7 linked regions of the Xenopus tropicalis genome follow. The protein of the gene in region 2 purifies or fractionates together with the protein of the main gene of each other region. This does not show direct contact. Links are inferred from orthologs where the notes say so. Each region holds a gene or a part of one and is shown on either strand. Other genes may lie near its edges.

What was found.
Region 1: the proteins of skp1 (region 2) and yaf2 purify together in Homo sapiens (affinity purification with mass spectrometry; 3 studies listed by BioGRID and IntAct, with this or other methods). This does not show direct contact. The link is inferred for Xenopus tropicalis from reciprocal best matches to the Homo sapiens genes SKP1 and YAF2.
Region 3: the proteins of skp1 (region 2) and fbxo36 purify together in Homo sapiens (affinity purification with mass spectrometry; 3 studies listed by BioGRID and IntAct, with this or other methods). This does not show direct contact. The link is inferred for Xenopus tropicalis from reciprocal best matches to the Homo sapiens genes SKP1 and FBXO36.
Region 4: the proteins of skp1 (region 2) and mtus1 purify together in Homo sapiens (affinity purification with mass spectrometry; 3 studies listed by BioGRID and IntAct, with this or other methods). This does not show direct contact. The link is inferred for Xenopus tropicalis from reciprocal best matches to the Homo sapiens genes SKP1 and MTUS1.
Region 5: the proteins of skp1 (region 2) and cacybp purify together in Homo sapiens (affinity purification with western blotting; 6 studies listed by BioGRID, with this or other methods). This does not show direct contact. The link is inferred for Xenopus tropicalis from reciprocal best matches to the Homo sapiens genes SKP1 and CACYBP.
Region 6: the proteins of skp1 (region 2) and fbxo38 purify together in Homo sapiens (affinity purification with mass spectrometry; 6 studies listed by BioGRID and IntAct, with this or other methods). This does not show direct contact. The link is inferred for Xenopus tropicalis from reciprocal best matches to the Homo sapiens genes SKP1 and FBXO38.
Region 7: the proteins of skp1 (region 2) and fbxo9 purify together in Homo sapiens (co-immunoprecipitation; 9 studies listed by BioGRID and IntAct, with this or other methods). This does not show direct contact. The link is inferred for Xenopus tropicalis from reciprocal best matches to the Homo sapiens genes SKP1 and FBXO9.

What each region holds. Positions count from the first base shown.
Region 1 is NC_030679.2:64,861,925-64,866,713, forward strand, and holds the start of yaf2 (YY1-associated factor 2), read left to right. Parts: upstream 1-1,711; 5' UTR 1,712-1,806; coding exon 1,807-1,832; intron 1,833-2,003; coding exon 2,004-2,129; intron 2,130-4,789. UniProt on the Homo sapiens protein: Binds to MYC and inhibits MYC-mediated transactivation. Also binds to MYCN and enhances MYCN-dependent transcriptional activation. Increases calpain 2-mediated proteolysis of YY1 in vitro.
Region 2 is NC_030679.2:26,567,162-26,572,070, reverse strand, and holds the start of skp1 (S-phase kinase-associated protein 1), read right to left. Parts: upstream 3,185-4,909; 5' UTR 3,183-3,184; coding exon 3,086-3,182; intron 2,355-3,085; coding exon 2,281-2,354; intron 1,626-2,280; coding exon 1,482-1,625; intron 266-1,481; coding exon 125-265; intron 14-124; coding exon 1-13. UniProt on the Homo sapiens protein: Essential component of the SCF (SKP1-CUL1-F-box protein) ubiquitin ligase complex, which mediates the ubiquitination of proteins involved in cell cycle progression, signal transduction and transcription.
Region 3 is NC_030681.2:129,211,198-129,215,554, forward strand, and holds part of fbxo36 (F-box only protein 36), read left to right. Parts: intron 1-874; exon of another isoform or gene 875-1,018; intron 1,019-1,424; coding exon 1,425-1,533; intron 1,534-4,357. UniProt on the Homo sapiens protein: Substrate-recognition component of the SCF (SKP1-CUL1-F-box protein)-type E3 ubiquitin ligase complex.
Region 4 is NC_030677.2:42,488,031-42,492,387, reverse strand, and holds part of mtus1 (microtubule-associated tumor suppressor 1), read left to right. Parts: intron 1-789; coding exon 790-906; intron 907-1,919; coding exon 1,920-2,017; intron 2,018-3,579; coding exon 3,580-3,796; 3' UTR 3,797-4,357. UniProt on the Homo sapiens protein: Cooperates with AGTR2 to inhibit ERK2 activation and cell proliferation. May be required for AGTR2 cell surface expression. Together with PTPN6, induces UBE2V2 expression upon angiotensin-II stimulation.
Region 5 is NC_030680.2:98,121,234-98,125,590, forward strand, and holds the end of cacybp (calcyclin-binding protein), read left to right. Parts: intron 1-691; coding exon 692-786; intron 787-3,163; coding exon 3,164-3,320; 3' UTR 3,321-3,789; downstream 3,790-4,357. UniProt on the Homo sapiens protein: May be involved in calcium-dependent ubiquitination and subsequent proteasomal degradation of target proteins. Probably serves as a molecular bridge in ubiquitin E3 complexes. Participates in the ubiquitin-mediated degradation of beta-catenin (CTNNB1).
Region 6 is NC_030679.2:44,521,105-44,525,461, reverse strand, and holds part of fbxo38 (F-box only protein 38), read left to right. Parts: coding exon 1-57; intron 58-267; coding exon of another isoform or gene 268-428; intron 429-1,474; coding exon 1,475-1,577; intron 1,578-2,637; coding exon 2,638-2,804; intron 2,805-4,357. UniProt on the Homo sapiens protein: Substrate recognition component of a SCF (SKP1-CUL1-F-box protein) E3 ubiquitin-protein ligase complex which mediates the ubiquitination and subsequent proteasomal degradation of PDCD1/PD-1, thereby regulating T-cells-mediated immunity.
Region 7 is NC_030681.2:96,847,192-96,851,548, reverse strand, and holds part of fbxo9 (F-box only protein 9), read left to right. Parts: intron 1-919; coding exon 920-997; intron 998-1,159; coding exon 1,160-1,318; intron 1,319-2,233; coding exon 2,234-2,291; intron 2,292-3,615; coding exon 3,616-3,709; intron 3,710-4,357.

The sequences.
Region 1 (4,789 bases), about 38 Mb from region 2:
GTTAAGGGTGCCAATAATTTTGTTCAGCCCATTTTTGGAGTTTTGTGTGACATTATGTGCAACTTGCTTTATTGCCTCCCTTTTTTGTTTCGTTCCAATACACACTAAAGGGAATAAACATGTGTATAGCAAAACACGTGTAACTGCAATACTTTTCTGTGAGAAATACTTAATTTTCTTGAAAAATTTCTGGGGTGCCAACAATTTTGGCCATGACTGTATATGTTTAGATTTACATTCTCTGCACTATTGGTTTTGATTCCTGAAACAATTTAGCAGAAAGCAGCTGATTAACATCTACAGGAAATCTGATTTTTTTTATTTTTTGAAGAGTCAAAACCAAAGAAGAAAAAGTTCAACAAACAAATATTTCAATTGCAATAACATTTACAAATAACTTTAAAACCTATCATGCACAGAGATGATTGGTATATTGCAGAAGCGCCATTACAGTTATTAAAGTGATGGTATTTTACAAAATATATAATCTGACAAAATCACTTTTACTTTCCATTCTGTACTCCCAAATCAATGCCAATTCCAATGTCAATGCCCTCCTCACATTTTCCCTTTCAAATAACTGTCTATAATTGTGTCTGTGCATTGGCATCAGGTCCCCAATTCTGGCACATACACAAGATTTTAAAGGTGATACAAAGTTTCCCTTAATAAAAATGTCCACAAAATTGTGCCTGTGCTTGTGACTGTAAATTGTAAGAATGAATGAAAGAAAATGTAAAGTTTATTTTGCTCAAATAAGACAAAAGAATTTGGAATTATTTCTTAAGGTGACAGGTCCCCTATTAAGACCTTACCATTATTCCTTTTCTCATTATTATTCTGATGTCTCCCAAAACATTTTAAGTTCTTTTTAGCAATGTTGTATAATGTCCCTTGAAAGCATATATTTATTTTTCTGTTATTAGGCACATATCATAATTATGATTTTACCTTTAGTTCCTTCCCCCTGTAATAAGTTTATAGCTATTGAGCATTGTATAAACAACCCCCACCCATAATCAAATAGCTACAGTTTCTGTGAGGCTTTCTGATTGGGGGACTAGTGATTTAAAGCTGCATTTTTCTCTTTTACTGACTTATTCACCACCCTCACCAGATGCTTAGGAGAACCACAGGAAGTTGTAAAGTGAAACTGCTTTTAGTTTAGTTATTGCCCTATTGTGTAATACATGGCAACAATATCGCTTAATTAAAACAACTGGGAAAAGTATGTTGAGTACAAGCCCCGTTGAATGCGTCTGTGTTAAACATGCGGATACACAACTCCTCTAAGTTTGCTGTTTAGCTGAGAGGCCCGGCTGCCTTAGCCTTGCATTGCTTTGGCTCAGTATTCTTTAACTCCATTACTGAGGTAGAGACAGAAGAAGAGCCACGGTCCTTTCAGCTACAGTCGTTTGTGTTGATTATGAGACAACCAGCGGTGTTTGCCAGCGCTTCCTCCATCACACGCTACGTGCGCCTACATTTGCCCTGCGCATTTCCTTGTATCCCCGGGCAGATTTCCTTTATGCTCGGACTTTTTCATGTGCGCTTTCTTTTCCATAGTAATGCCGACCATAAGGCAGCCCCTTACGGCCTCTTCTCCGCACATACATCAAGCAAAGTCGCTTTAGTTTTCCAAGCGGCTCTGGTATTGCTTTGTCGGCCTGTTATTGGTCGCGCCAGGTCACGTGTTGCGGTGGACAGCTGGCTGCGGTTGATCGCGGTCGGTGTAGGCGCCCACTCCCGCCTCATAGCCCGGGCTCTCTCCCCGCTCGGCCTGCGCTCAGCTTCCTCTGAAGCAGCATGGGAGACAAGAAGAGTCCGACCAGGTAAGAGCACGGCTAAAGCAAAAAAGGAAGTAGAAGCTGGTGAGAGGCTGCGAGGATTGCCTAGGCAATCTCCTTTTCACTGTGTTAGAAGCGCCCGAGGCCGGGGCTAGGGGAACAGGCCGCCTTGTCAGCGTGTATGCCCTTGTCTCTAACAATTTCCTCTTCCCCCAGGCCGAAGAGGCAGCCGAAGCCTTCATCAGACGAAGGATACTGGGACTGTAGCGTGTGCACTTTTAAGAACAGCGCCGAGGCCTTCAAGTGCCTGATGTGCGATGTACGCAAGGGAACCTCTACCCGGTGAGCGAGCCCGCCACACAATAACAGCACAGCCTCCTCACTTACTGACATTGTCTTCTTAGCCAGTCCCCACAATACCGCACTTGCCTCACAATTCTCACAATACCGCACTTGCCTCACATGCCGCACTTCCTATCCTGTAGTAACATTGCTGCTGCTGCTACACAATAACAACACATCCGTTTGTCTGAAACAAACAAGCACACCTTCTGCACGGAACATAAACACACAGCTCGGATGTGAACACATTGCAAGCAAAACACCAGCGCACAAATGGTTAACGAATCCCTGCAAGTATAGTAATTGTGATATATTACAGAATCACTTTAGTTCTCCTGTAATTGTGACATATTACAGGAGAACTAAAGTCATTCAAATGGCTATGCTGTTACCCCTGCCCCTACCCCTGTCTTTGGAAAACGCACTGGACTGCAGAGTGTGTAGTCCCAATCCTCTGTGCCAATTATGTTGGGTGCATATACAGTACAGTAATCACCCCTTTCCAGGGAGCTGCAGCGGATGCTGGGAAACAGGCAAGAAAATGGAGGCAACTGTCAAGTAGTCTGGGACAGTGTGCTTTCTAATGAAGACAAACACCAGTGCAGGGCAGCAGGTTAGAGATTAAAATTATATTTTTACTTTAGTTCTCCAGCAAAGACAAAAATATTTAGTGAAACGGCAACAAGATGCTTTTCCTACATAACACCACATAATAAAAAACAGCATCACTTTCAGTTGTCCTGACACAAGGAAAACTATACCTTCAGAATAATATGATGAAAAGTATTTGTTGGGTATTTAAGTGGCCTATTTAAGAATATTTCCAATCTGGAGCATATATATCAGTAAATATTACCCCTTTTACCTTAAGCTGCCGTTTTGTGATGGTCTGTGTGCTCCCTCAGAGATCACCTGGCCAAAAATATTGCATCTCTAACTTTAACAGGAAGTAGTGTGGTAGTAAAAGACAGAACTTCTGTTAATTGGCTGGTATGATGTATGTGTGCCCCATGAATCATGAAAATCATATAATCTGGTGTGGTGGTAGCCCTTAGTACTTAAAATTCCAGTTTTCTATTTTGGAATGACACATACTACTAAAAAAGGTTATTTTTCTAAAAATGGTTTATTTAGATAAAGTAGAGTTTTATATGTTAGCTGTTTTTTTTAATAAATATATAAGAAGTCCTCACGACAGCACCTCACTCCAAAATGCAATTAGATAGCCACCCTTGTGCACAGAATACAAAATAAAACACAACCAGCACCAAGGGTCTTATAGTTCAAACAATCTCAAGTGTATTGCATGTATAACCAACGTTTCAGTCCCTTTTCGGACTTTTTTCGAAAGTGTCTGTTATACATGCAATACACTTGAGATTGTTTGAACTATAAGACCCTTGGTGCTGGTTGTGTTTAAGTTTATTTATATATCCAAAAAAGACCAGCAACACCGAGTTATATTCCAAAAACAATTGTGTATTAAAAACGCATAAACAGCCACAATTGATTGATTTTGGAATATAACTCGGTGCTGCTGGTCTTTTTTGGATATTTAAATCATTTACCTTGCACCGGAGCTAAGAGCTGAAGCAGAGTGCCACCCTGGGTTCACTATATATATATATATATATATATATATATATATATATATAATCTCTTAGGTTTTTTTTTTTTTAAAGAGACCTACATTGTTCTGGGGTATGCTTTTCCTTTAAAGGAACAGTAACACCAAAAAATGAATAAAAGTAGCCAAAATATAATGTGCTGCTGCCCTGCACTGGTAAAAGTTGTGTGTTTACTTCAGAAAGTCTACTATAATTTATATAAATAAGCTGCTATGTAGCCATGGGGGCAGCCATTCAAAGGAGAAAAGGCACCAGCACATAGCAGATAACAGATAAGTTCTGTAGAATACAATAGTGTTTTATCTGTTATCTGCTATGTAACCTGTGCCTTTTTTCCAGCTTGAATGGCTGCCCCCGTGGCTACACAGCAGCTTACTATATAAATTATAGTAGTGTTACTGTAGCAAACACACCAGTTTTACCAGTGCAGGGCAACAGTGCATTATATTTTTATTACTTTAAAGCTCTTGCATTTTTTGGTGTTACTGTTCCTTTAAGCCAGAGGTATCTCCCCTGTGGCTAGGGCTGTTATCTGATGGTAAAAATAGACTTTGTCAAAAGGCAAAATATCCCTTTTGGCAAAAGGGATATTAAGGAAAGGGCAGTTACATTTATTGGTTTCTCAGAAAAAGGTGTCCTTATTGTTGAAATGCATCTGATAGTTTTAAACTTTTAAATTAAGCTCCATTGTTTCAGTGTCAGTGCCTATACACTGGCTGACCTACCAACTGCCCCATTATTTAGTTTGGCTATCCGCTTGCTAAGAAGTGACAGCAGGAGTAGTTTTCAAAAATGATGAAAACAGCAGCACTCCAGTTGTTTTGAAAAATGTGAATCTTTACTCAAGTTCCAAAGGCAACGTTTCGGGCTTCAATCCAGCCCTTTATTAAGCCTATTAGTACAAATACAAACAAGTGTTTAAATACCCACAGGAAGAGGAGGATCAGTCCATATTCACCTCCATTTAACCCATAATATTCTGTGAATATATTTAGTGCACACAATGAAATGTAGTAGTTTTCAATCCAGATA
Region 2 (4,909 bases):
TCTCTTTGCGTACCTAAAAGGAAAATAGCATAAAAGAGGTTCATTAATAAATACTCTTGTTGGAGTGGAGATATTGGCTGACACACTTGTAAAAGGAAATAAACTTAAGCGTATAAATATATACCTGAGCTTCTTCCTCCTCAGTAAAGTCGTTTTTGATGTTGAAGGTCTTTCGAATTTCTTCTGGCGTTTTTCCTTTAATCATGTTTGCAACTGTCTTGCAGGTGACATCAAGCAATCCTTTGATATCCAAATAGTTGGCAGCCTGAAGATAAAAAAAAAAAAAAAAAAAAGCAAAATCAAACCAGCCCCCAATTTTTTTTTGACCAGCAAGAACTCAAACCCACCCCTGATTTGCTCACACTCCCTTGTATTTGATATGGTACCAATAGACTGCAGAAAAGCTTATGAATTGGCTTAGAAGCAATATATGTTTATGACAATGACACAAAAGTTATGCAGCTCAATCAGTGCCACCAAGAATGTAGCATCCTTTAGGAGGAACTGGACAAACTGGGAGACTGGCCTGCTAAGTGGCATTCCAAAATATGCAAGGAGCTGGGGTGACTTGTGGAAAATAAACTTAGCTTTAGCAAGCAATGCCAGTCAGCGGAAGGAAGAGCCAGCAAGGTATACAGACTCAGAGGGGAAGTACATATTCCCACTTTAGAAAACACTGGCAAAGGCCCCATCTAGAATATGCAGTGCAGTATTGGTCTCAAATCCTTAAATGGATATTAATGAAATAGTAGCTCTTTTTGGACTCGCTCTAAATTAATGAAGGGTATTTTATGAGGAAAAGTTATCATACGTGCTTTAAGTGGCGTATAAGCACTACATATGAATATGCAAGTGTAATTTATGTATATAGGATTGAGATGAAAAAAAAAAAAATAGTTTCAGCCATTTTCAGTTTGGAAGTTAAATCTATGCTGACTGAGGAATATATGGACATGTGTATGTAAATTTTTAAAAATCTTTTATGAATTAGTGTATAAATTTCTAGTAACTGTTGTGTTATGTGTTAACAAGTAAAATGGCAGCCACGTTTTAATGTATGAATAAAATTATGTGTGTTAAAACTATATTGCTCAGAAGCAACATGCAGATGCCATGTGGATGCCTTTATTGAAGCCACTAAGGACAAAATTATGCACAACGTTTCATATATGTGGGCTCACCCTTACCTCTCAAGTGCAGGAGAACAAGCACACTTTGTTGGAACATGTTAATGGCAAGGTTTTTAAATATCAACTCTCCTACCTCTTTCGGACAAAAACACAAATAATTACTGGCTGTGTTGTGTGTGCACTACCTTCAGGCTGTGTTGTGTGTGCAATACCTTCAGACTGTGTGGTACTTTAAGTTGCAGGTTCCCTTTAAGGTTATTAATACTACTAAGTACAAGTACTAGAAATACACTTATGTAATTCTAATGGGTTCTATAAAAGCTGTTGGGTTTTTTGGTGAGCATGCCTCACCAAAATCAGTTCAAATAGTGTTCCCTGATCCACTTTTAAAAACTCTTGGTCCCACACAGGGATATCATCTGTTCTCTTCTCTTTGTTTTCATCGTCTTCGGGTGGAGGGGGATCATCTTTATGATGTGTACACCACTGAATGACCTGATGAAAATAAAAGTACATAGGTATTTATCTTTATGATTTATACAACTGACTGCATTTGTTGGCCAGGTCCTGAATCCAAGACAATGTGGTACTGCTAAACTTAAGATATGTTCAATTTCATCATTTTGTTGTTTATATGTTAATATAATTCAAGCTAGTAAAAAAAAAAAAAAAAAAAAAAGTAAATCTTGTAACAACCTACACTTGAAGAGCTAAACCAAAAATAGGAGCAATGTCCTCTACTGCCTGAATTAGAGAGCAAGTGTTTCTAGGTCTGAAACAGTATACATCATAACTCAAGAATATGAAACCCCAAACAGCAGGATGAAGTTCCTAATAACCAATAGTTCAGTTTTATTTTTTTACTTGCCAATATGCCTTAAAACCCTGGCATTTATAAGTAGTTCTTCTTCTGGCAGTGATAAGCAAATATAAATAATGTGTGTGTGTGTGTGTGTGTAGGGGGGGGGGAGGCTGTTGCAACTTTTTAATTAACACAATTCTGAATCTGGTACAATTTTTTTGTCCTAATTACATTGCATTATATCCCTGCAGCAAACCAACACCTCTAAAAAAAAAAAAAACAATCTCTAATCTGCATCCAGTATTCTAGTATGGGTATACGTAAAACCACTACCTAAATAGCACTTACTTTTTTAAGGATTGCAGCATTAACATTGGGAAGTGGCACAGGGTCATCATCACCTTCATCATCCATACCCAGATCTGTTTAAAAACATTTAATTGATAACTGTGTCTTGCCAAAAAAATGTAAAAAAAAACCCAAGATAATTTAGACAGAAAGGCAATGTTCTAAAACTATAGTCAAATAAGAGATTTCTCAAGAATTTACACAAAATAAATTTAAACACAACAGAAATATTACAACCAGTTCCTCTGAGGACAATTTTTTTTCAGCAAGACTGCTACTTATTTGTTATATTGGGATCACTGCTGTTATGAGTAGTTTGAAACGCTGTGTACCTGTTATGTAGTGAACAGCACCAAAACTTTTTTTTTTTTTAATAAAAAGCCCTTATTCCATCATTTCCAAATCCTGGATTGTACAAACAATGTTTTCTAAAGTACCCTGTGTACCTGTCTCTTATCAGTGTAAAAGGAGCTACTACCTAAAAAGATAATCCTCCACAAACCCAAGAAATTTCCCAATTTGAAAGTGGATGACAAAATGATTGGAATTACCCCTGACATTTCAATTGCAAATGTCTGTTCACCCAGGTGCACTCAAAGGTCATGCAAATGCTACATAGAAGAAAAATTCCCAGCAATATTGTTTCTGTAAAGGGATTGCTTTTGGAGAGAATCCACTCAATTGCCCAATGTGCCTTTACACCAACACTTTCAAAGCTAGGAGAATAAAAACAAATGAAGACCTGCACACCAGAGGACAAAATTATAAAGAATACATATTCAAAGAATTTTTTTTTAAAAAGTACCTTCCAACATAGTTTTAATTGTTACTGACTGCTTTGCAATTTCAACATCCACTTCAAAAATCTCTCCATCAGAACTCTGCAGCTTTATAGAAGGCATCTGAAAAACAAAAACACATTAATCAACACAAACAGTACTGCTTAGTGAAGTTACTGCAAGCAAAACAGAAAGAAAATCAATTGGTACTTTCAATGAGAGATGATCAGGAAGGCAGCTGTGAAACTCAAGATGCTGCACTGAAGCACATTTAAGCATGGTGAGCAGGAGAGACATGGGAACAAAATGGCAGCAAGCACAGCAAGTGCACTGCAGGCCATTGTAGGCAAGTAGAATCACAGAGTGGCTAACATGGCAACCACCCCCCCAGTGACTATACCTTTCCTTCTGCTTTAATGAAATGCAAACATCATGTTTCATGCCCTGGTTGTCAGTAAGGCAGGGCCAATAAAAATAATCATCTATACAACAGCCCTGGTGCCTGGTTGCTTCAGTCTCTGCCCAAGACCCACACCAACTGTGCAATATACAGTGGTCTGGCACGGCCTAATGAGCAAAGGGAAGAAGCTGCAGCTAGTAGGAATAAGAAGGGGCCTGCCAACTGTTGCCAGCACCCTGCCCTCCACTACCAGGAAGAGAATAAGGAGCTAAAAGCTTTGGGTCTCATCCGGAATGTGCAATTACCGGTACTCTGCAATTTTCAGAGAGCTGTGCAGGAATTGGGAAAATGCACTAAATTCTAACAGCTGTCAACCTGGCACTGCTCCTTTAACAGCCGACTGCAAATGGCTGGACAGCTGGAGATGGATGAACCCTTGTTAACACTGGCCACCATTAGTGTGCACGCAGTACACAAAGGGAAAGTGTCTCTGGCATATATGATGTGGGAAAGACTTACTGAGCAGGTATAACTATGGAAGCAGAACAAAGTAATTACCAACAAAGGGTGTCATTTTACTGCTGCAGTATGACTTTGCCAATAGCAGCCAGGATAATGGCAATTGCCAAGCTCCAAATCTGCATTAGAGGCCATTTGCCCATCCTGCCCAGAAAAAGAATCTGTACATCAATAGTTGACATACAGCCAATTACAGAGAGGACATTTGCTATCCCTGAGCCATGCTTTTCACTCAGCCTCATTTTAAACAAAGGCTTTATGAATTAAAATAACAGAAGTTTGGCCTAGACAGCAACATACAGAGCAGAGTGACTAACAGCACAAGGCAATAGGAATTACCATATTCTGTTAAAAAGAGGACTGGTTATTAAATATCTTAGAGGGGACAGAGTGTACTTGAAATCTTAATTGTGTAGTTAAGCACATTTTTAATCTTACAGGTATGGGATCTAGATTAAGGAGACTCATTATCAAGAAAGCTTTTGGAAATGCCATTTTATTATTGTTTGACCAATTTCCTTTTGCTCTATAATAGTGGATATTTCAAAACGGTGACTGATCCCCTACAAGTTCCATGTGAGAGTCCACTGTGCCCAGGTAAACAAATATACTGTTTAATTTATTATAACAAATATAATGGTTTATAAGGAGTGGGTCCAGCCTACATGGACTTGTCAGACGAGAATGGCATCAAAGTGACAATGCAGTCTTTGCCATGTAGGATTTTCAACCCTGCCGAATATATATCTAATTTTGTTTGGGTATGGATGGGCTGGGTCAGCAGGTGTTAAGACAATAGTTGACTGAAAAGTTTTTCATATACTTTTTCAGGCACTCTACATATTGTAGCCTTCACCATTCCCAGCTACAGTCTGTTGATCTCAATGGTGGCCAATAAAAAGTGCAACAATTTTTTTGCACTAAAAGGAAG
Region 3 (4,357 bases), on a different chromosome or scaffold from region 2:
ACTATTCTTACCCTTAGCCATGGGAAGTTTGTAATTCAGACCAAATCCTGTACTGCCTCAAGAAACATTTATGGGTCACCTGCTTGACTAAAATAAGTATGAGTGTGTAATTAGTCGAGGTGTTGCCACAGAAGGATGGTAAACCATTGTGTGAGGAGTTAACTGTTGCATAGGGACACGAAGAACTGCATCAACTCTATTTATTGGTTCTGTTTACATCCTTTGGATCCTTTCACTTCATGAGGGCCCTGAAAAATTCTAAAGGTAGGCTGACCTGTGGACCAAGCAAATGTATGTACTTGTTGTGTGCTAAAAGGTGTACATGGGAAAAATCATCTGATGCTCTGAGAATCCAATGGCCACCAGCTCCTTTTTGTGGCTGGGATCTCCCACAGTAGTTCTTTGATAATTTAATATTAAAGGCAGTGGAAAGGAATGGTAAAGTGGAACACTATAACTCGGGGAGAAACGTATTTCTGACTTTGAGCACTTTATTAATTTGCTTTAGTTTTCTCTGTAAGCCCCATAAACCATAGAGATGACAAACCCTTTGCAATGTTGTACAAGATTCTTGCATTGGCATTGTTATGTTAAGAAATTTCCAGGAAAAAGACAATTTTACTATGTCAAAATAAACAGTGAGATTTGCTTTTCTTTTCCTGGTTGTTATATCAGTATTGTGAGCCAGACAGCCAAACTGGCTTGTATAATGAACTCCTGTTTGCCTCAAAGTCTAACAGACGCTTCAGCTGGTGGATTAAAGGGGGTTTGTTTATGAAGAGGTCTTCTCAGTGGGCTGGTAATTTGTCGACTCACACTTTGGGCCTATTTTTTTTTTTTTTTTTATTTACCTTCTTTGTTTTTTATAGAAATCTATGTAAACAAATACTGGAAACACATTTTCTTTCTAATTCCTCTGGGAACAAGTAATGGCCAGGTATTAGTGAAAGGAACTTCAGGGACTGTTATCCCACTTCCCATGGACAGCCCTAAGAAAACAGAAATTAATGAATAAAAGGTAATCTTTAAACTGGGGACAATTCTAGTGAGGCTTAACCATCTAAATTCCTATTAAATTCACATACACTATGGCCAGTTTTATCAGGAGCCAATTAACCTGTCTGTATTAAGAGTGTGGGAGGAAACCAGTATACCTGAAAGAAATACATGCAAGCATAGAGAGAACATGCAAACTCATTGCAGATGGGGTCCTGCATGGAATCAAATCTAGGCCCCCGGTAACATGCTATATTTTTATAAATGTAAAAACTTTTGTTTCTTTGGCCCTAAAATTGGGGTTTGTCATTATGCGTATCTGTACAACAATGTGACTGCTCCCCTTGCTATCAGGCTTGGTACACAGAAGTGTGCAGTGTAGTGCTGAGATACCAAATGAAACGATTCCATCTGATTCCTCTCTGCAGGTCATTATGAGATACTGGAAAATATCTCTTAGAAGTGAATTTCGTGATGCTAGACCAGGGGAGGTTAAAGAGTCGCACCAGGACTTCGTGGATGACCCAACGCTGCAAGGTAAGCAGGAGATATGGTGATAATATAAATATATACAGCGGGTACATTCTAGAGCTAGGATGCACAGCAGTGATTTCTAGTTAGTGTCTCTGACACTTTTGCCCCTGTGCAATTCAGCTGTTAGGGCTACAGGTTTAATAAGTGCCAATTTAATCTGCCAATTTGGGTCCTTCAGACTGTCTTGGTAGCTTATAGCTTATCTGCTCTTGTATGGGGCCCTCCCGACTGACCTACCCGACCCGATATCTGGGCAAAAATCATCCAGGTGTCAGGGCAGGTTTGATTTTCGAAATTCATCAGCTTGTTCATGCGCTCCTTGCTCTGATGGCTTGTAGTTCCTTTATTGTAATGCAGGCCTTAGAAAAGTGGCCTAATATTGCCCACCTTAGGAGAAAGATCCCCTCATTTAGCGACCTCGGCAAACACACAGATCTAATAGTGCATGGCCACTATTAGCCCATAAAGATCAAACAAATTCCTTAGGAATGTTAAGGTGCTTGCCATCTGTCAGCTCTGTTGGCTGATGAACCCCAGTTCAAGGCAATGATATGTATGTGTGTCAGTATTATCCAGAAGGGATGACACCATGGCAGCTAGTGACCCCCAAGGCAAAAACAGCAGAGTAACTGGACCTTCACAAAAAATCAGCCCTTTAGACCTGTTGAGTCATCATGCATATTAGTGGCTTTCTTGCGATTGTCATTGCCTTTGGCTCTGAATGTTAGGGGAGCAGCTAGGGTAACAGTCTAAACTGTGAGTGGGCCAGACTACATAAGAAGCCAGCCCATGTTATTAGCTGCAAGGTGTAGCCATGTAACTCAATGCTGATATTACCAGGATTCAACCCATCATGACAAAGTTGCTCTGGTTGCACACAAGGAAACCAGATGGATGAGTTACTCTTTATGTGGCTACTGACACAATTAAGAACAATAAATGATTCCCGTGTTTGTCACATGACACTCGCATGACTGAATGCGAGAGACGTTTTGCTGCTGTATATTCAGGTAATGTTGTATCCTAAATTAGAATCTAAACATGTAATTAAAATGCTTGATGTAGCATTGCCTCCCTAACTGCTTAGGGTGTGGTGTGTAGGTGTAGAGAGGTATGTCTCCCCATGGTTGCACTGCTCTGTTCCTCAGGAATCTCATTGGTTGTTTGGTCTCTGGAAAAGATATAGTGACAACATGGCAGTGAAAATATTTTCTGAAAGCTCAGCACCAATTTTCCTAGATCCATGTGTGCCATTGTCACAGCAATTCCCTTTCTTTCCTAGATCCATGCCCAGTGAGCTCTGTGCCAGAAACTGATTGCAGCACCGGCTCCAGCAAGCACAGGGTATAATAGGATAAAGAGAACAATACGAGGATGTGATGCTTGAAATAAAAATATTCAAAGAAAAGCAAAATACTTGACTGTATTAACAAGATATCTGGAGTTCCATACTTTAGGAAGACTCTAGGGGTAATTTTTTTATTCCCTGTGGTGCAAGTGTTAGAGAAGGGCAAAGTGTGATTTTCGCCTTGTGCCGCATTAACGTGTTCATCTGAATGACACCCAAGTGCCTCCCACCCATCACCAATACAACTCTGACTAATGCAATAAGCACTGTATCTGTGGGGGGAGACACAGGGCTCTGCACCCTGAAACAGAGCATAGGGACCTGCTGCAATACAGGGCATGCACAATTTACAATGCAATACTTTGGCAATACAGGACATGCACAATTCAGTGTGCCTCCATGTAGTGCTTGCATATATTCCCTTGCTGTGCAGTAGCCACAGGAGCTTTTCTAAGGATCTTTCTACAGAATAAATATGTACATTACTTTGGTAAATGTCTGTTTATGGCAGCCGGTACTTTTTCCATTGCTAAGAATGCGCTTATTGTATGTTGTCAATGTGGCTCTTTCTTTGGCAGCTGCAGAGCCCATTCTCCAAGTCGGCCATTAATGAGAAACAGCTTACAGAGGGGATGTTATTGCAGCCTTCTTATGTAGCTCATAGCTCTATGGAATGGTGGGTTGTACATGAATATAAAGTTGGGGGCCAGCAATATGTAGAATATAACACAATTAATGACACTGTAACAGGGGGTAAAGTTTTAGCAACATTTATTCCCCCCATATTATAATTTTTATAGCGGATCAGTGCTTTACTCTCTGGTATCGCTCTTACTTTATTTTCACTAAGGGTTGCACGTTTGTCATTGCCACCAAATAGCTGAAACGAAAGTTCTGCTCACCACTAAATATATTTAGAATATATGACAATTATGAGGCTAATTTGGCATAAGATGGTATCTGATTATAGAAAAACTAAGGTCGGCTGAGTGTGGTTGACAGCCACAATTTGTTTGCCAAAAAACAAATATGCTGTGGGAATGTTGTATCAAGTCCTGGGCATTGTCTTTTATTAACAGGCTGGTTACAGGGCGGTAGGGTGAAGGTGGTTCAAATGAGGCAAAGATATTTCCCATCACACATTGCTCAGGGTATTAAGCTGCTGAGGCGATGGGGTATTGGGGCAGAGGAGGTTGCCTCAGTGCCAATGAAGAAGATATACTGTAAAGTCTTTTCATGATCCCGTTGACAGAGATTGTCTCAACAACACTCAGCAGCAGGTTTTCGGGTATCTGAGTGGTACAAGGTTACCGGGGAAGTACTTTGATAACTCCTGGCTGTCTCTGCGAGGTAAACTGTTAGTCAGGGGCAATATGGAGTATTTTACACACAGTGAGTTGGGAGTGTGGGGAGGAGGAGAGTCAGGAGCACTTCTTAGTGGATTGTGTGGTCTCTAACAGTCTGTATGATAGTGCTGGG
Region 4 (4,357 bases), on a different chromosome or scaffold from region 2:
AGAAAAACAAAAACTGAATAAATAATGCATATTGAAAAATTGCCTAGAATTCCAGCTTTTTTCATTATGCAAACATCTGTTTTTGTATAGAGTTCCCCTTTAAAAGTGTTTCAGTCACTAATAGTGCCCCAACAGTGAGCAATCAACAGGCAGCAGTATATGTGCCCGAGAACACTAATATTTTGTTAAACATATTTTGATTTTATGCTATATACTGCGATTGCATGATGTATACAAATAATGCAAAATGTTTAATACAACCCAGATAGAAATGAAAGGGAAATAACATTTGGTGTTCAGTGGGTTATGGAACACTGCCAGCAGATTATTCTTTCATGTTGGGGGCGAGGCATATAAATAAGTGGCTGATTATTTCTAACCCCTGAGGGATGTGCATTTTTTAAGCTTTTTCATGTTCCTTCTCTCCTGTACCAAGCTAGGGGCAGAAATTATTTGTATTAGTAGTGTTTATTTTACATTATAGCTTTTTAATTGTGATTAGTTCTGATCTGAGTGCTAATTCATTTTTTTAATATATATATTTACAATTATTGTAAAATTAGGTTAATTGTGGTGTTGATTTAACTCTCGCATAGTGTGACTCATACATAGTGTGTGAGCTCAGACTGTGCTGTCAGGGGCACTCGATCATCTAATTACATTACTGCAGTGCTGAGGGCATTCCAGCATACACCCTACTGCCGGGAGCAGTACAGGGCTTGCACTGAATCTCTGCTTGACATGTTTAGCATTGTTATTGATGTGTCTGAACTATTCCTTCCCTTACAGAAGAATCCTCAGGTCATGTACCTGGAGCAGGAGCTGGAGAGCCTAAAAGCAGTGTTAGAAATTAAAAATGAGAAGTTACACCAACAAGATAAGAAGCTCATGCAAATCGAGAAGCTGGTAAGCTTTCCAACATTTGGCTTAGGAATATGGAATAATAGCAGCCTTTGTGGTTTAACCAAGTCACCTGCATCACATACATTTGGCTGAATGCCCTCAAAAACCTTATCAATTAGAACTGGCTCTGGTCCCAGGGTTTGGGTCACCTCATCTCGGTAAACTTCAAAGGGAGAATGGAGGAGACCAAGTGTTTTTCCTGGCTAAATAATTGCAAAAACAAAGGTAAAATATTCATGGTCTATAAACCTTAAAAATTATAGGTTTTTTTTGCTCTCATAAAAGAGAAAAAGTTAATGCCTTTAATAGCATTCTTTTATGTGGCAATATTAGATGGTTATGGGAACAAGCACTGTTGGTAGGAAATAACCAATTTGTGTGTGTCTGATACATCTTTCTAGTAGGCTTCCAGTGATTGGCTGCTTGTGCATTACATTAGGAGCATACTCTGCTAATGCTGCTTAGCTTGCTTTTTATTCTCGCTGGGAACTTCTGATATGAGTTTCATGTTGCATTTAAACCATCTCATTCCAGTGTAAGGTTCTACTACATGCTGTTCTGCATTCTGTTTTAAGATTAATGTTTTACATTACATTAACATTTATTTATAAAGCTCCAACATATTCCGCAGCGCTGTACAATAAGTGGGTTACATACATTGGACATACAGAGTAACATATAAAGCAATCAATAACCGATAGAGGTGAAGAGGGCCCTGCCCAAAAGAGCTTACAATCTACAAAATGTTCCGTTCTTTTGCAATACAGCTAGGTGTAAGCATTTGTTTGGCCACATACAGTACCTAGTGTTAGAAGATTGTTACATTAATGTTACATGTTATATTAATACTGTTTGTTTTTTCTCACCCAGTATAAAAAAAAAAGTATATTTCTGACATGACTGAGGATATCCATGCTCACGCATTCACAATTATCATTTCTGATAGTGAAACCTAGATATTTTTCTATTGCTTCTTTTCAATGTGGACATTAAATATAGATTATTCTTTTGTCAAGGTGGAAACCAATACAACCCTTGTGGAAAAACTGAACAAATGCCAGCAAGAGAATGAGGATCTGAAAGCTCGAATGGCGAATCATGTAGCTTTGTCACGGTAAACTTATTCTCCTAATATAAACAAATGCTTCCATTCCTCTTTGTTTTCTGGGTTTATGTCAAAGAGAAATTCATAGGGCACATTACTGAGAAGTGAATATGTACTCTGTGTCAGTAGGTACACTCAGCGGCCACCAAACTAGCACGTCTTTTTACAGACAGTAAAAAGTTTGCTCTTCATGAGAATGTACAAGGGATATCTACAAAGGTATACCTGTGAAGTTGGTCCTCAGTTTGCTTCTACTGTAATGGGAAGGCTTTCCACTGGATGTTGGTGGGATTTGCTTTTATTTAACCATTTAAGATTATTGATGAGGCTGATAACTGATTTTGTGAGATTGGCCCCCATCTCATACTGAGCTAATGCATCCCACAGGAATACGGAAGGGTTAAGTTTATGGCTTTGATCAAGCCAGTCAAGTGTTATGCATGTCTGGAACTCCATCCTGTATGGACCCTGCTTTCTGTGAGGAGCATTATTGTACTAAAGCCCCCCCCCCCCCCCAATTGATTCCCCAAAAAGTAGGAAGCATGGAATTGCATCCAGGTCATTTAAATAGCATTTTGTCATTTGTATCATAGATGTTGATAACAGTCCAGCATGTGAATTGATAGGATGGTTTTCCGCAATAACCAAAAGGCTATCAAGTGTGGGTAATTTTATATTTGGAGAGGAAAGAGTCTCCTCCACAAAACATGTATTATGTCACTTAGGAAGTTGTCGGTATACAAACACTGCTTAAAGACATTAAATGGCACATGGCCAAGACCCCTTCAAAATACAGACTGCCCAATGGAAAGGAGTAGGCCCTATTAAGAAATTTGATTTTGGGAAACTTGGGTAGCAGACCAAGAGACTCTTTCCACATTTCAGCATGCAGTCACTCTCTCTCTCTCTACTGACATTGCTGTACTGTTCTAAAGGGTTAGGGCCAGCAAGCCAAAACAGAAGCTCTGAAAGATAATTTCTTAAGCTTAAGGTTCTACACTATCTCAAAAGGCATGGGGGGGGGGGGGTGGAGTTGGGCATAAAAGGCATAGCATAACTATTAAAAAGGTACCCTCAAAGGGAAAAGTCAATGTATTGAAATGTTTGTTGTATATTTAGACAGGCATATTTATCAAACATGTGCTGTATTTGGGTCCAATGCCACCCTTGCCACTGGACCCTAATACACCCCTACATCATGCGCGTTATGTCACCACCTACGTTGCGGTAGTGATGTAAAATTTAAAAACTAATATAAATGCATCCGAGGGCCATCCCCCAAAACCTGCTGCCCTAGAACAGGCCCTTGGGTGCCTTAATATAAATATGGCCCTTTGTCTAACTTCATAGGTTACGGCATGGGTTACTCCACTTAGAGCCCAACAGAAGAGCATCACATTGCCAGTCCTGCTTTAGGATAGCTGTACTTTTTAAACAAGACAGCTGTAACGAAAAATTGATATAGAAGCAGCTCTGTTTAACTTCCTCTGTATGCCTGGGCAAGGTAAAGATAGCACTATATGTCTAAATATTGCTACAAGGAACTCACTGATCTTCTGATACATCCACAGGCAACTTTCTACTGAGCAGGAGGTGCTGCAGCGATCACTGGATAAAGAATCCAAAGCCAACAAACGTCTGTCAATGGAAAATGAAGAGCTTCTGTGGAAACTCCACAACGGTGACCTATGCAGCCCCAAAAAACTGTCTCCATCTTCACCTGGAATTCCCTTCCATTCTTCACGGAATTCAGGAACTTTCTCAAGTCCAACAGTGTCCCCCAGATGACACTTTTCCAATGCTTCAACACTTCAAGCAGACATTTCAGGAGAGTTCTGGGATATATCTGGACACTAACCATTGAAGTCAAGGCTATATTAGCTACGTTATGATGACTGGAATTTGGGATATGGGTAATGGTTACTGGAAATAAAGGGGGCGATGTTCCTCCTTTAAAGAAAAGACATTTATACTTAAAAACAAAAGAAAAAAAATAACAAAAAAAACTTTGTTGCACAAAGCACTTACCTAGCAAGATACATCTGTTCTTGCATTTTGCCTTTTTTCACCTACAGCGAGTATATAGGGGAAAAAGCTCAGGGTTTGTAGATAAAAGATCACAACCTTTATATAGATTTTCACCTGTAGTATTGTTTTTTCCCCCTTTACGATAGGGTGCGTGTGATGTCAATGTAACGGATGTTTTATGATGTGTGCTTCATGCTGCCTTCTTTGTTCTAAAGGACAATAAAGTTATTTCTGATGGATAGAACTCCCATTTTAAATGAAACTTAGAACAAGGTAAGACTGCCATTCCTGTTGGTCGCCACTTCAGTGTCTATGAATGAC
Region 5 (4,357 bases), on a different chromosome or scaffold from region 2:
AAATAAATAGGTCTCCATGAATTAATTAATTAGTTATATTAACACTTGTTTGTAAACAGTGCCTTTCCCATTAAAAGTAAAAAGGATGGTGCTCTTGGGTAGGTAATGGAGAATGTTACTACCTCCACTTCATCAGTGGGCTGTGGCCATAGGCTAGGCTATGGTGTAGAAGTTGGTTTTGACCCCTATCTATTTTTTACTATTTCACACCCACACATGGGATGGTTAATGCCCTCATTATCTGCTTAAGTATGGGTGCCCTATTATTTATATTGGCTGTTTCAAGGTTAGGTATTGAGAGGAGACCTAATTAATGACAGAATAGATTTGTCATCCAGAAACTAGGCTTATCACTAACTAAAAAGGTACATTTTCAAAAAAAAGCTTTTAAAATAGCCCCTTTGTGGATTTTCATTGGTATGGCCTGAGCACTTTTGTAGACCCATCAGGCCAACATCTGATCTGGTGCATTGAAGCATATCACCAAGTATATACAAGTTTGTGGCTCATATGAAAGTGTGTGTTGTAGTCTCCTGTAATCAGTTTTAATCCCAAACACATCTTGTGGGCATACAGAAGCTGCAAAATGAGTCCCTACATAATGCCTTGCAGTGCAGTAATCTCATTGGATGCAAAATATGTTCTGAATACATTCAAAAAATTCCTACTGTTTAATATTCTTCTCATATAGGTGAAGACAGACACAGTGCTGATAATGTGCAGAAAGAAATCTGAGAATAAATGGGAATTCCTAACACAAGTCGAGAAACAAACAAAGGAAAGAGAGTAAGTATCTTTACGATTCTTGGATCGTTTACAGATAAATTCAGTTTTTATCACGTGTTCATGCTGGAAGCTAATTTCCTTCAACTAGCACTCCTCAAATGATGGTACCTCCGACGACTCTGTTTTTAATATACTCATGTTCTTTCAATCAGCATGGAAAATACATAACATATAAGGCATTTTCATCTCTGTGAAAGGTCAGCAATTAAAGCTATATGAAAATGGTGTCTGCTTTTGGGAACAAACCAAAGAACTACTGGCTAGGAAGCTGCCTCACTATCCTATTGGCCATCCAAGCTTGTCACTGCCAACATAATTGAGGTTGCTGTTCAAGTTTAGGTATAAATCTATAAAGCTGGCTATACATGCACCAAAATAATTTTAAGAAACATAAGGGCTGACTAAGGTGCGTTAAAACGAGCGCTATTTATAGCATGCGTTAAAAATTTTGTCGCGTCTTAACGCATGATTCACTAAAAGGATACTTGCGTTAATTTAGACGTGATGCTGTTTGCGTTAAGTCACGAAGACTATTTTTGTGCGGTATTTGACGCAACACGCACAAATTGTCATCGTGCGAAAAAACGCTAGCCATACACGCCATTACTTTCGTAAAACTACTTTTTAGAAAATGACCATTTCCCTGCAAACTGGAGGCTGCATCACTCTAGGGCCAACACATAATTACCGCCTGCCCCAAGTAGGTGTTAATTTTCCCATAGACTAATGCGATATTTAGCGCGTCTAAGGGGCACATTTACAAAAGCATGAACGCTCGGAGCGTTCATTCAAACGCTCCGAGCATATTTTTGCCGAATTTTTCGGGCGTCCGCACAACTTTTTCGTACGCTTGCGCGAAATAAACAGGCTTTACCGCTGTTTACAATGGTTCGGTGCGTAAATTTTGTGACTTTCGGATCGCCAATACGATATTATCGTGACTAAATTTTCATTTCCAATCCAAATTTTTCCCATTCGGGATTCGAATTTGTGGATTAGTAAATCTGCCCCTAAGGGGCTGATTTACTAACCCACGAATCCGACCCGAATTGGAAAAGTTCCGACTTGAAAACGAACATTTTGCGACTTTTTCGTATGTTTTGCGATTTTTTCGGATTCTGTACGAATTTTTCGTTACCAATACGATTTTTGCGTAAAAACGCGAGTTTTTCGTATCCATTACGAAAGTTGCGTAAAAAGTTGCGCATTTTTCGTAGCGTTAAAACTTACGTGGAAAGTTGCGCATTTTTCGTAGCGTTAAAACTTAACGCTACGAAAAATGCGCAACTTTTCGCGTAAGTTTTAACGCTACGAAAAATGCGCAACTTTTTACGCAACTTTCGTAATGGATAGGAAAACTCGCGTTTTTACGCAAAAATCGTATTGGTAACGAAAAATTCGTAAAGAATCCGAAAAAATCGCAAAACATACAAAAAAATCGCAAAATACCGATCATTACGAAAAAAACGCAATCGGACTCCATTCGACCCGTTCGTGGGTAAGTAAATCAGCCCCTAAGTGTTTGTGAATCATGCATTAGTATTATTTCTGCGCGCTAATTAATGCAATGCGGTAAAATTAACGCGTTTGGTTGTGCACTATTTAACGCACGCGATATGCAACTTAACGCATGCGATAATGCGCGTTTTTTTGACCGTCAATTTTAACGCAAAAAACCATCCAATAAGCGTTATCGCACTTTAGTAAATCAACCCTATAGTTTCATACAATTTTTGGACTGTGTGTGGTTGGACAGGTTAGAAAATTTCAGGCAGATAATATCTGCGCATGTATTATGTGCATTTGCAGGAAGTCACTTTTGCACGATTTGTGTCTGCCAACTATTTCATGTGCAGAACATCCTCCGATTTGTTATTTTTAGGACTTTATCCTACAATTTCATACTGAATATTAGTTTTTGATAGTTGCATTTAAGCGTATGATCAATATCATTCGGCAGTAGAAGACTAAAATCTGAATGTAGCTTTTTATTTTATTTATTAAAGAAACTACAAACATTCCTTAAACCTAAAGTTTAAACAAAACACAAAAAATTAAAACAGTAATGTTATAATAGCTCAGCTGGACTTCACACTAGTGAAACAACTATGCACAGACGTACTGTATTATGACTTATCTGTGAAATAGGATATTGTAACATACTGTATTTTTTTCCATTACAATTTTTTTTCTGACTCCAAAACCAGTTACCCAAATTTGCTTCCAACTCCACAGCTCTGATTTTTATTGTACAATGGATCTAAGTTATTTTGAAGATTATTTTGATCACTTATTTTTTATATTTGGTGTTCATTGTCATGTTTTTGTATTTTAAGTTCAGTGTAACATAATTTAAATCTTTTTTTTTTTTTTTTAGGAAACCAGCACTAGACACAGATGGAGACCCAAGTGCAGGATTAATGAATGTCTTAAAGAAGATATATGATGATGGAGATGATGACATGAAGAGAACACTTAATAAAGCTTGGGTAGAATCACGAGAAAAACAAATGAAAGGCGATCCTGAATTCTGAACATAGACTTCTCAGTGCTTACGCCTTAAATGATGCCTACGTCCAGGAACAGTCCTCGTTTTAATGCCTGGAGAAATTATCTCTTCTTACAAGTCTATTGTTTACAATTCGCTTTCCTGACATGGAATTCGCTGCTGTTGCATTTCATGCCAATTAAGATTAGAAACTGCATGGTTCATATGCCTGAAACATTCATTTGTATACCTCTATCTTCCTTTCCTAGTAAAAGTTTTGAATGTCTGTCCTTCTGTCTTTAACACTTAACAGGCATATGCGTAGGGAATATGTATACATCTCTCATAAGAGGCTGCTTACAGCTACAGGTGTATTTATGCACCAGGGACGCCGCTCACTTTGCATGAACTTATATGCAGAGTAAATTTGGCCTCAGCCTGCTGTCATTGAAAGGTTAAATGTGAAAATCTGTTAAAATATCAGGTTACAAATTGTTTATTAAAGAGACCCATTTCAAACAGGTGTGCGGGTCTTTGTTTTACAAACTAATGTACCTTACTTGTACACTGTATAGCTTTTCTAGATCAGACAAAGAAAATTAGTGGTGCACTAGTACATACCATTAAGAATGAAAGAAAGCATCAAGAATGTTTATGGGAATCCCTACCCCTACATCCCCAAAAGTGTTGAGCTTTAAAACATTAGAAATCGTGAAAGGACAAATAAGGTTAAACTTAAAAACATTAAAAAAAAAAAACTAGATATAACTATATAAGTTTAAGAGGCAGAACTCTCACCACTTAAATGATTTGTAAGTTTCAGAAGTGCTCAAAGAAGCAAAGTTTACATCAATTCATTTTTTGGCTTTAGATCCCCTCTAGGGAGGATAGACCATACAATTCTGCCCCATACTTTCCCACTGCCACTGTTTAGTTTCCATCTTTATGTGCCATTCACCAATCTTAAGGGAGAATGACTTGTGATAAATTCAACAAATTACAATATTAAAATGTTAAAAATTCTACCTCAATTATCTGCAATTCTCTATAAGAATCCTAACTTTTCTTTCTCTCCCTCATGTG
Region 6 (4,357 bases), about 18 Mb from region 2:
ACAGCAGACAAATCCACGAGCACCAGCGACCCTGTTATTGAGGATGACCATGTACAGGTAAAATAGCCATTCATTATTCATCACATGCATTTTTCTGATGACTTAAGGGCATGCATCATAAACATTTTACTAGTTAACCAAAAAAGCAGATTTATGTTAGCAATAAGTAGTATTTGTCCTCAAGTGGGAACTGTCGTTACTATACCAAATGCAAACTGCAGTGGTTGTTTAAAAAAAATCTGCTTTACAACTAGTTCTTTCTTACAGTTTCTACAGACCAGAGAAATCAGAAAAATCATTCATTGCATCATGCTCCATCAACCTTACAGTTTTCACATGGTGCAACCAGTAGCTTCTGCTTACGCTCTGGGACTCACAGCAAGACTGAGTTTTTTTTTGCAGCAGGAAAAAAATGAAAGGTTGATGAGGTAACTTACAAAAGAATAGAGTATTGGAAAAGTCTGCTCGTGAAATAGACTTATAAAAACACACTACAGTTAGAATATTTTTATGAAAATGACAGTTCCCCTTTATCAGGACCTTTATAACAATTGGTGTAGTTGTTGATCCACAAAGCAACTAAGCAACAAAAAACATAAAATAGTCAACCATTCTACCAACTGATCAATTTAACTCTGTAAATAACATGATCATATTACCTTGGCAGACAAAGCAGCAGGATTGCTACTATTAACATTGATTAATTTAAATACACAGATAACGATCTCCCTGCTGCGTAACCTCTGCATGTGGTTTACTGAGCATAGATTTAAATACAAAGTAGACCATATAAATAGTTTAAAAGGAGAATAGCAGTAAAATTAACTCGTATCAGTGGAATGGTTGGTGCTGCTGAGTTCCCCACTTTGAAAGTGAATGCTATATTTTTATTAATGCTGGCTTTCATACATCATTATCACTCTGTCTGAGCCACAGATGCAGCTAAATTTTTACTTAGGTGTATCGCATTGAACCACCATGTTATTTTATTTAAAGGAAACCTATACACCCAGTATGAATACTTAACCAACAGATAGTTTATATCATATTAAGTGACCTTTGACATCTTCTACCTTGAGCCACCATTTTGTGATGGTCTGTGTGCTCCTTTAGAGGTCACCTGACAGGAAGTAATGCAGCTCTAACTGTAACAGGAAGAAGTGGGGGTAAAAGATAGTCCGTTAATTGGCTGATGAGGTTTAGCATGTATGTTTGCCTCGGCTTGTTTGTGTGCACCGTGAATCGTTTCATTTAGGAGTACGCAATGGCACATACTACTACAAAAGTATAGTTTTATAGAGACCTTTGTTGTCCGGGGGTATAGTTTTCCTTTAAATAGGCTATCGGACCATTTTTTGATTGGGATAAACACTGACATGTTATTGTGTTTATGCTTTATGTGATGTCAAAATAAGGTTTTCTCAATCTCCAAGTAATATAAATACTTCTTTTTATAATGTATTTTCTTATTCAGGTGCTGAACCTCAAATCAAAAAATTTGGTGGGCATTACACTAACCAACTGTGGAATCACAGATTTAGTTCTTAAGGACTGTCCTAAAATGATGTTTATCCATGGTAAGTCCATCTTTATTCTGATATTTTGACCTATTTCTTTGCTTAGATTATTTATCAAATCAAAGTGATAGTGTAAGAACTACACCTAAAACTAAATACAGTTGCATGGCTAAGGCGCCACGTTGGGCAATTTTTTTAAAGGGGATCTTTGACTGTGAAATAATTCCAAGTTCTATTTAGTTGGGAAAATAAGCTTTATTTACATTGTACTCTATATAAGTTATGTAAATCTTGTCAGTCTTATGGAATCCACTACTAGAGCATAAAGGCAGGCGCCATTTTGAGGAAACTGAGGATGCTTTGCATTATCCCATGCCAGAAATGAAAACCTGATGCACAGACACAGGATGGGGTAATAGTCAGTGAGGGGGATTTGATTAGTGGAGTGACATTAAGGAAGTGCAGAAATGAAAGTGAATGTAATTGCTGTGCCATAAGGGGCAGGGCAGGCAATATATAATTGACAGCTGACTTTTCTTAATGAATCTATAACAGGTATGGATGTTTTAATAAAATAAAAAGAATGTGGGTTTCTTGTTTAATTTTAAAAGGGCTTTTATTTTACAGCTTTTTATGTTTGGGTGACAGGTCCCCTTTAAATGTCTGGTTAAGTTGTGCGGATCGATTATTTACCTTCAATAGCCACTACATTTTCTTCCCTGGTGTGGTATATTCCCATTGAAGTTACATTCAGGACACTGATTAGAGCCATAACCACCTGGCTATTACTCTGAAATAGTATTCAGTTGTGGGTAACTAAGTACCAGGTGCTCAGCTGAACACAGTTTGACCTAGTGTGCGCTGCTGGTAAGCCTTTGCATCACCAAATCATAGTTTAAACCAGCACTTTGTCAGCTATGATATAGTACTAAAGGAAACTATTTTTAATGAAGTAACCCTTTCTGGCTTATATGTTGTTTATAAAAGCCTTTGGGAGCATAACAGTATGTACAGAGGCCTGGGGTAGCAGTGTGAGAAGCAAAATTGAGCCTTAGAGCGGCGCGTGCTGCTATCGGAGCTGTAAATGCCCTTGTTTTAATATCTAGGTTTGGTTTTTCAGCTACACGATGTCGTGTATTGAAGCACTTGAAGGTAGAAAATGCTCACATTGTAAATCGGTTTGATTATGCACAATGTAAAAAGCTGAATATGGAGCAAGTATTGGATCAGATTCTCCGGATGCCCCCTGAGAGGAACCGTATCATTTATCTGCGGCCCATGCACCAGGTAGGTGACTTAACAGACTGTAAAACAGTATTGTTTGGTTATTCTTACAACAACTGAACTAGGAGGGCATCTTGTAGGCTTCATAAATAGTTTGGAGAGAAAATAATAGCTCACTTTTGGGTGTCTAAAAATGCTGTTGTGAGGTGAATCTGGTGACTGTGTTGCAAAATGATAACCATTTAAACACAGATTAACAGATTCACAAATGTTTTCATAAGCACCAGGATAAAAGCCATATGGTTTTCACCAACATTACAACAAAGCCAAAAAGCCTTTAAGCAGTTTAAACATCAAGGGGCAATTTGCCTTAAAATAATAATTTTAATGTGATTTAGGCAGTAAAAAGATTTGCAGCTAGACTTAAGGTTGCCACGTGTCTGGTATTTATCCACCCTAGCCAGTTACTCACCAGCTAGAGGGCCAGTGTTACGAAATTATCAGCAAAGTAAATTTGTACTAAAGCATTTGGTTACATTTTCTTTTTATTTAATTTGTTTTATGTAACTATGCATCTTCTAGGTTGTCTTTCAGAATAATGCCTGGTTGCTATTGTAAGTGGAACCCTGGCAACTAGGTAATAGACTAAATTCCAAGCTGAAGATTTGTATAACAAGAGAAAAAAAATAAACACCACAGCTAATAAACATAACATCTGCTTTAAAATTCCATATTTTGATACATACCAATAAACATAGATACATACATACCAATACATCATAATAAAAGTTAATTTAAAGGTGAACTCTCCTTTTCAGTATTCATCAGTAACGCATACATCCTGAAGCCTGGCAAACTGGCTAAAGCCTGGCAGACTTGTGTTAAGATTCAGTAACAGGTGGCTTGCCACATTCTCAGTGTTTGTTTGACTAGGAAGGTTTCTTTAGAAGGTAATAGTACAGATGATTGATTCAATATCCATTTGCTGTTTTCTATATAAGTGTTTTTTTTTTAATGTAAATGATGTGTGGGTGCGAAGTCTCAGGGACACATTAGAATGATAAATTCATAGAAGCAGAAAAGGAAGATAATGCCTGGATTGCCAAGAATGAAAGATTTGTATTGATTACTCCTAAACTGAACATAATTGTTTTACTTTGAGTTTAAAATTATGTGTGTAATAAAGGATAATGCTAACATACAGTTGTTGTGACACCTGCACAATATAGTGATCTATGAAATTCCAAGCATTGATTAAATGGAGGATGTTGAATGTTAATATGCATTGCTTTTTGCGATTGTCTTGAAAGAATTGTGCTTTTCTATCCTCGGCTCTTTGGCAGAAGGCTGGTACTTTGCTGCCGGACACATACAATCATGGCCAAAATTGTTGGCATCCCTGAAATTTTTCCAGAAATTAAAGTATTTCTCACAGAAAAGTATTTCCGTAACACATGTTTTGCTATACACATGTTTATTCCCTTTTCCCTTTTTGTGTATTGCAACAGAACAAAAAAGGGAGGAAAATAAAGCAAATTGGACATAATGTCACACAAAACTCCAATAATGGGCTGGACAAAATTATTGGCACCCTTAACTTAATATTTGGTTGCACA
Region 7 (4,357 bases), on a different chromosome or scaffold from region 2:
TTAAGTATACGCAGCACATCCCACCCATGAGAAGTGTCGCAGAACAATTCTTCAAAAGTCATAAAATTGACTATAATAAACAGCTAATATCTCAGAAGTGAAAAAGAAGAAAAAATGTAGATTGCAAAATTGCTCAGTTTATGTTTTCCACAGAATTTTTTTTTACCATGTGTGGAATGAAAAGGTAACTTTTTGTGGAAAAATTAAATTGAGCCTCAAAGTCCTGTATTTCTGATATAATATAACACTTTCTACAGCAGCTCTAGTTGTACTGTGTGCTTCTGCAACTGTATCGCATGCTGAATTTTCAAAAGTTCACAATCATATCAGCTTCTGTAAAACTGACCTGGATAGGGTTGGGGCAAACCTTGAAGCTGGAGCAGAGATGGGCAGCTTACAAAAAATGCTGGGCTAGGCACCCAGCTTAAAGGGACTGGGAAGAGCACTGTGTTCATTTTAAGCGGGGTTAACTTACTTAAGTTTGAGGTTGCCATCAAAAATATTTTTATGGCCGCTGACAAATTTCTTGGATATCACACTTAAACATATGGTATAGTGGCTAATTAGATCTCTCTATGGAGGTAGTTAAACTGCTTTGTTAATTTAAGTTAATTTTGGTTTACTACCGGCTTGTTGCCTTCTGTATTTGATTCTAGTAGAATGTTAGATTGATTCATGCAAATTTCCTTGTTATTATGAGATTCCCATGCAGCAAATCAAATTTTTGAATGTGAAATTATGTCTAGTGTAGTAATTAGGTTGTTTAAATGGATCCCAACCAACCAACCTACATTTTTTGCAATGGGTGGCAGTCAGAGGAGTTTAAATATTATACTGTGGATAAATCTAGGTGAGAAATGTGTTTTGTTTGGGTTTTATCTGATTAGTTTTTATTCATTTGATTTTTTTTTTTTTACAGGCGGAAGGTGATGAGGATTCTTATACTGACAGCCTGATGTCTAATGAAAATGGGAGACCTGGAGAAACAAATCTTCAGGTAAATGATGATGGAGTTAGTGAACTTTGCTATTCTGCTCTGCATTATTCATTTCTGAAACATTTTTAAGTTAAAGGTAGAGCAAGTAATCTGTATACAGTGTACAAATTATGCTTAAATAAGACTTTCCAGGTACTTCATGCAGAATATGCTGTCTTTTAGGAAGAGCTGCAGATGTTTAGAGCTCGTTGGATGTCTGAACTCACACCAGGATTGAGCTCTGGAGGGCTTGAAAATCGGCCTTGTAATGCAGCAGCTAGAGGGCCGGTGGGAAAAGTATCAGAAACCAAAGCAAAGCAGGAATTGGCTAAAGAGGCGAAGGTAAATTTAATATAGTTTACTGGACTGTCCTGCCTGTCAGTTTAGGGCAGCTGGGGTTAAGGTGCTCCTCAGTAGAGGCAGGATAAACCGAAGAAACTTTTTCCAATCTCCTCCTTTCTCCTGTCACACAAGGACCCTTTCTGCATAGTCACAGCAGAGTCTGTTAGCTCCACCTTTGCCTTTGCATCTATGAACTGACATTTGTGTACTCTCTGCTTGTGACACTTGAGTATTGCCACAAGTCACAAAACAGTGACTATGCATTAACCCTTTTTTATGCTAATGTCACATGGGGCGATGTGAGCACATATACATGCATTCAAACAGAAACCAGTATTGGTAAATATGCCCTTCTCTGTCTTTCACAACTATTGGAAAAACTGTGCCTGAAGCACAGCAGTTAAAAAGTGATCTCCACTTAGAAGTGCTCACCTAAGCATTCCTGAGCAAACGTTTTTTTCCACTGCCCCATGTGCATCCTGCATGGCCTTTCCTTTAGTTTGCTATGGGAAGCAGTTATAGGCAGAAATAGGCATTTTGCAATGGCGTTCCAAGTGCTTCATATCAAATTATTTAGAACACGTTAAATATAATGCACCTCAGCTGCAAAACCAAGGAGGGAAACATTAGGGACAGTAGACTTCCTTGTTCAACATAAGTTCATTTAATAGGGCTTGTGCTGAACATACTTTTTGCCTATTATTTTAATCATAAAAACTGAGCTAAGGCGGAAATAAAGCTACTTGTGATATCCTTGTGAAGTAGATAATTTACTGGCATTTACCCCCTCCCTTACCCTATTGCTGTAATGCTGTCTGCAAATGTGTTTTCTAATTTCTGTCCTAAAAAATTCATTCCTTTGTGATTATGACTTTAGCTTTAAATTAATGTTTTTTTATTTGTTAACCTAATCAGGCAAGAGAACTGTTTCTTAAGGCAGCAGAAGAGGAACAAAATGGAGCTCTTTATGAAGGTACTGGCTACTTTTTTACATCTTATCTTAATCGGGTAGTTCACTTTAAATAAACCTAAGAGAGTTATAGCTGGGCTTAGTCTAAGATTTTTTTTTTTTAAATGTCTTAACTATTAGCCTTGCAGTTCTGCAAACTAAACTGTTAAAGGGGACGAAAGATTTAAACTATGAAGGCATGTTATGGTTGTGGTTTTCTCTGAAAAAAGATGTTTGCAAGGGGACCAGATTATTCTTTACATTAGAAGGCATTATAGACAGATAGGAGGTGTTCTTTTTTTTTTCCCCATAAAAGTGGTAAAAATGATTGACACACCAGAAACCAACCCTTAGTTTAAAGCAGAGTAGGTAGTTATTCACAGTGAGGTTGTGGAATTCCCTGCCTGGTGATGATGTGATGGCAGATTGTATTAAGAGTTGCTGGGATGATTTCCTAAGCATAATATCATAGGCTATTGTGATACAAAAATTTACAATTAATATAGATACTGGTAAATATATAATATATATATATATATATATATATATATATATATATATATATATAATATATATATATATATATATATATATATATATATATATATATATATATATATATATAATCAGCCCTTGAAGTGTCTGCACTCTAATGCAAAAAGTATGTATATCACGGGGTGCACATCCAATATTATTATAAACAAAAAAAATACTGCATCCTTGAGAAAGGTCCTGTTGAGGCCTGAGTACAGGTAAAGGATCCACTATCTTGAAACCCATTATTCCAAATTATGGGAAGACCATCTCCGCATAAACTCAATTTTAATAAAATCACTCATTTAAACATGATTTCCTTATTCTCTGTTATAATAAAACAGTACCGTGTACTTGATCCCAACTAACATATAATTGATCCTTATTGGAGGCAAAACAATTCTATTGGGTTTATGTAATGTGTAAATTATTTTTTAGTAGACTTAAGGTATGGAGATCCAAATTACAGAAAGGCCCCCTTATCCGGAATCCCCCAGGTCCCAAGCATTCTGGATAACCGGTTCTATACCTGTATATAGATAGGTCAGTATAAGTGTGTTTGTGTATGCACTAGGGTTTGTTTGGAGGGGTTGAACTTGATGGACTTTGGTCTTTTTTCAACCCAACTGAACTATGTAACACAAATATCAGTATTGTCTGACACTACAAATATGGAATCAAGTGTGTCTGGTCAGCAACAGAACTTAGGCCTGTATTCTAAGTTGGTTTTCTTAACTTTATTTTTAGTTACTCATATTTGAGACTTCTGTTTGTGCAATCCTAAAATCTTTTACCCTTTTTGATATTTTTACAGCTATCAAGTTTTACCGTCAAGCAATGCAGCTTGTGCCAGACATTGAATTCAAAATTAACTATACCTGGTCTCCTGATGGTGATACGAAAAACTTGTATGTACCAAGGTTGAATAAAACATTACAGTTTTTGAATTCTAAATGAATAAAATTTAGTTTCCAGAAATAAATGTAATTTTACTTGACAAAAACCTCGTGATTTTAAGGATTCTATTTCACTTCAGCCAGACACTTTGATTTGGCCGAATCCAAATCCTGCTGCAAAAAGGCGGAATTCCAGATCCTGGATTCAATGAATTCCTTATTTAGCTTTTATTTTCTGGCTAGTGGTACAAGCTCAGAGATATAACAACCTTATAACAGTTTACCATGTCACAGAATATGTCCCTAGTATCGTCCCACCCATTTTTTTCTGTAGAGGCAGTCATCAACTAACCCCCTAAAGATTGCCATGCAATTTACTAACTTCAGCAAAGTTGTATGTGTAAAAAAAACTTAAAATCAAAAGATGTACATTTGTAAATCAAGACAACCTTTTGAAGGTTATTGGGATTCTGTCATGATTTTTATGATAGACTTTTAATTTCTAAATTACACTGTTTACATAGCAGATAATTCACTCTGTATTTTTCTAGTTGTAATTTTGGTATGTAGTCAGCCATTGTGCCTGCTTCTGAACTTTTTGAAGGAAACAATGCTACACAATAGAACTGCTTTTAGATGAGCTATTGTATCCCCTGCTCA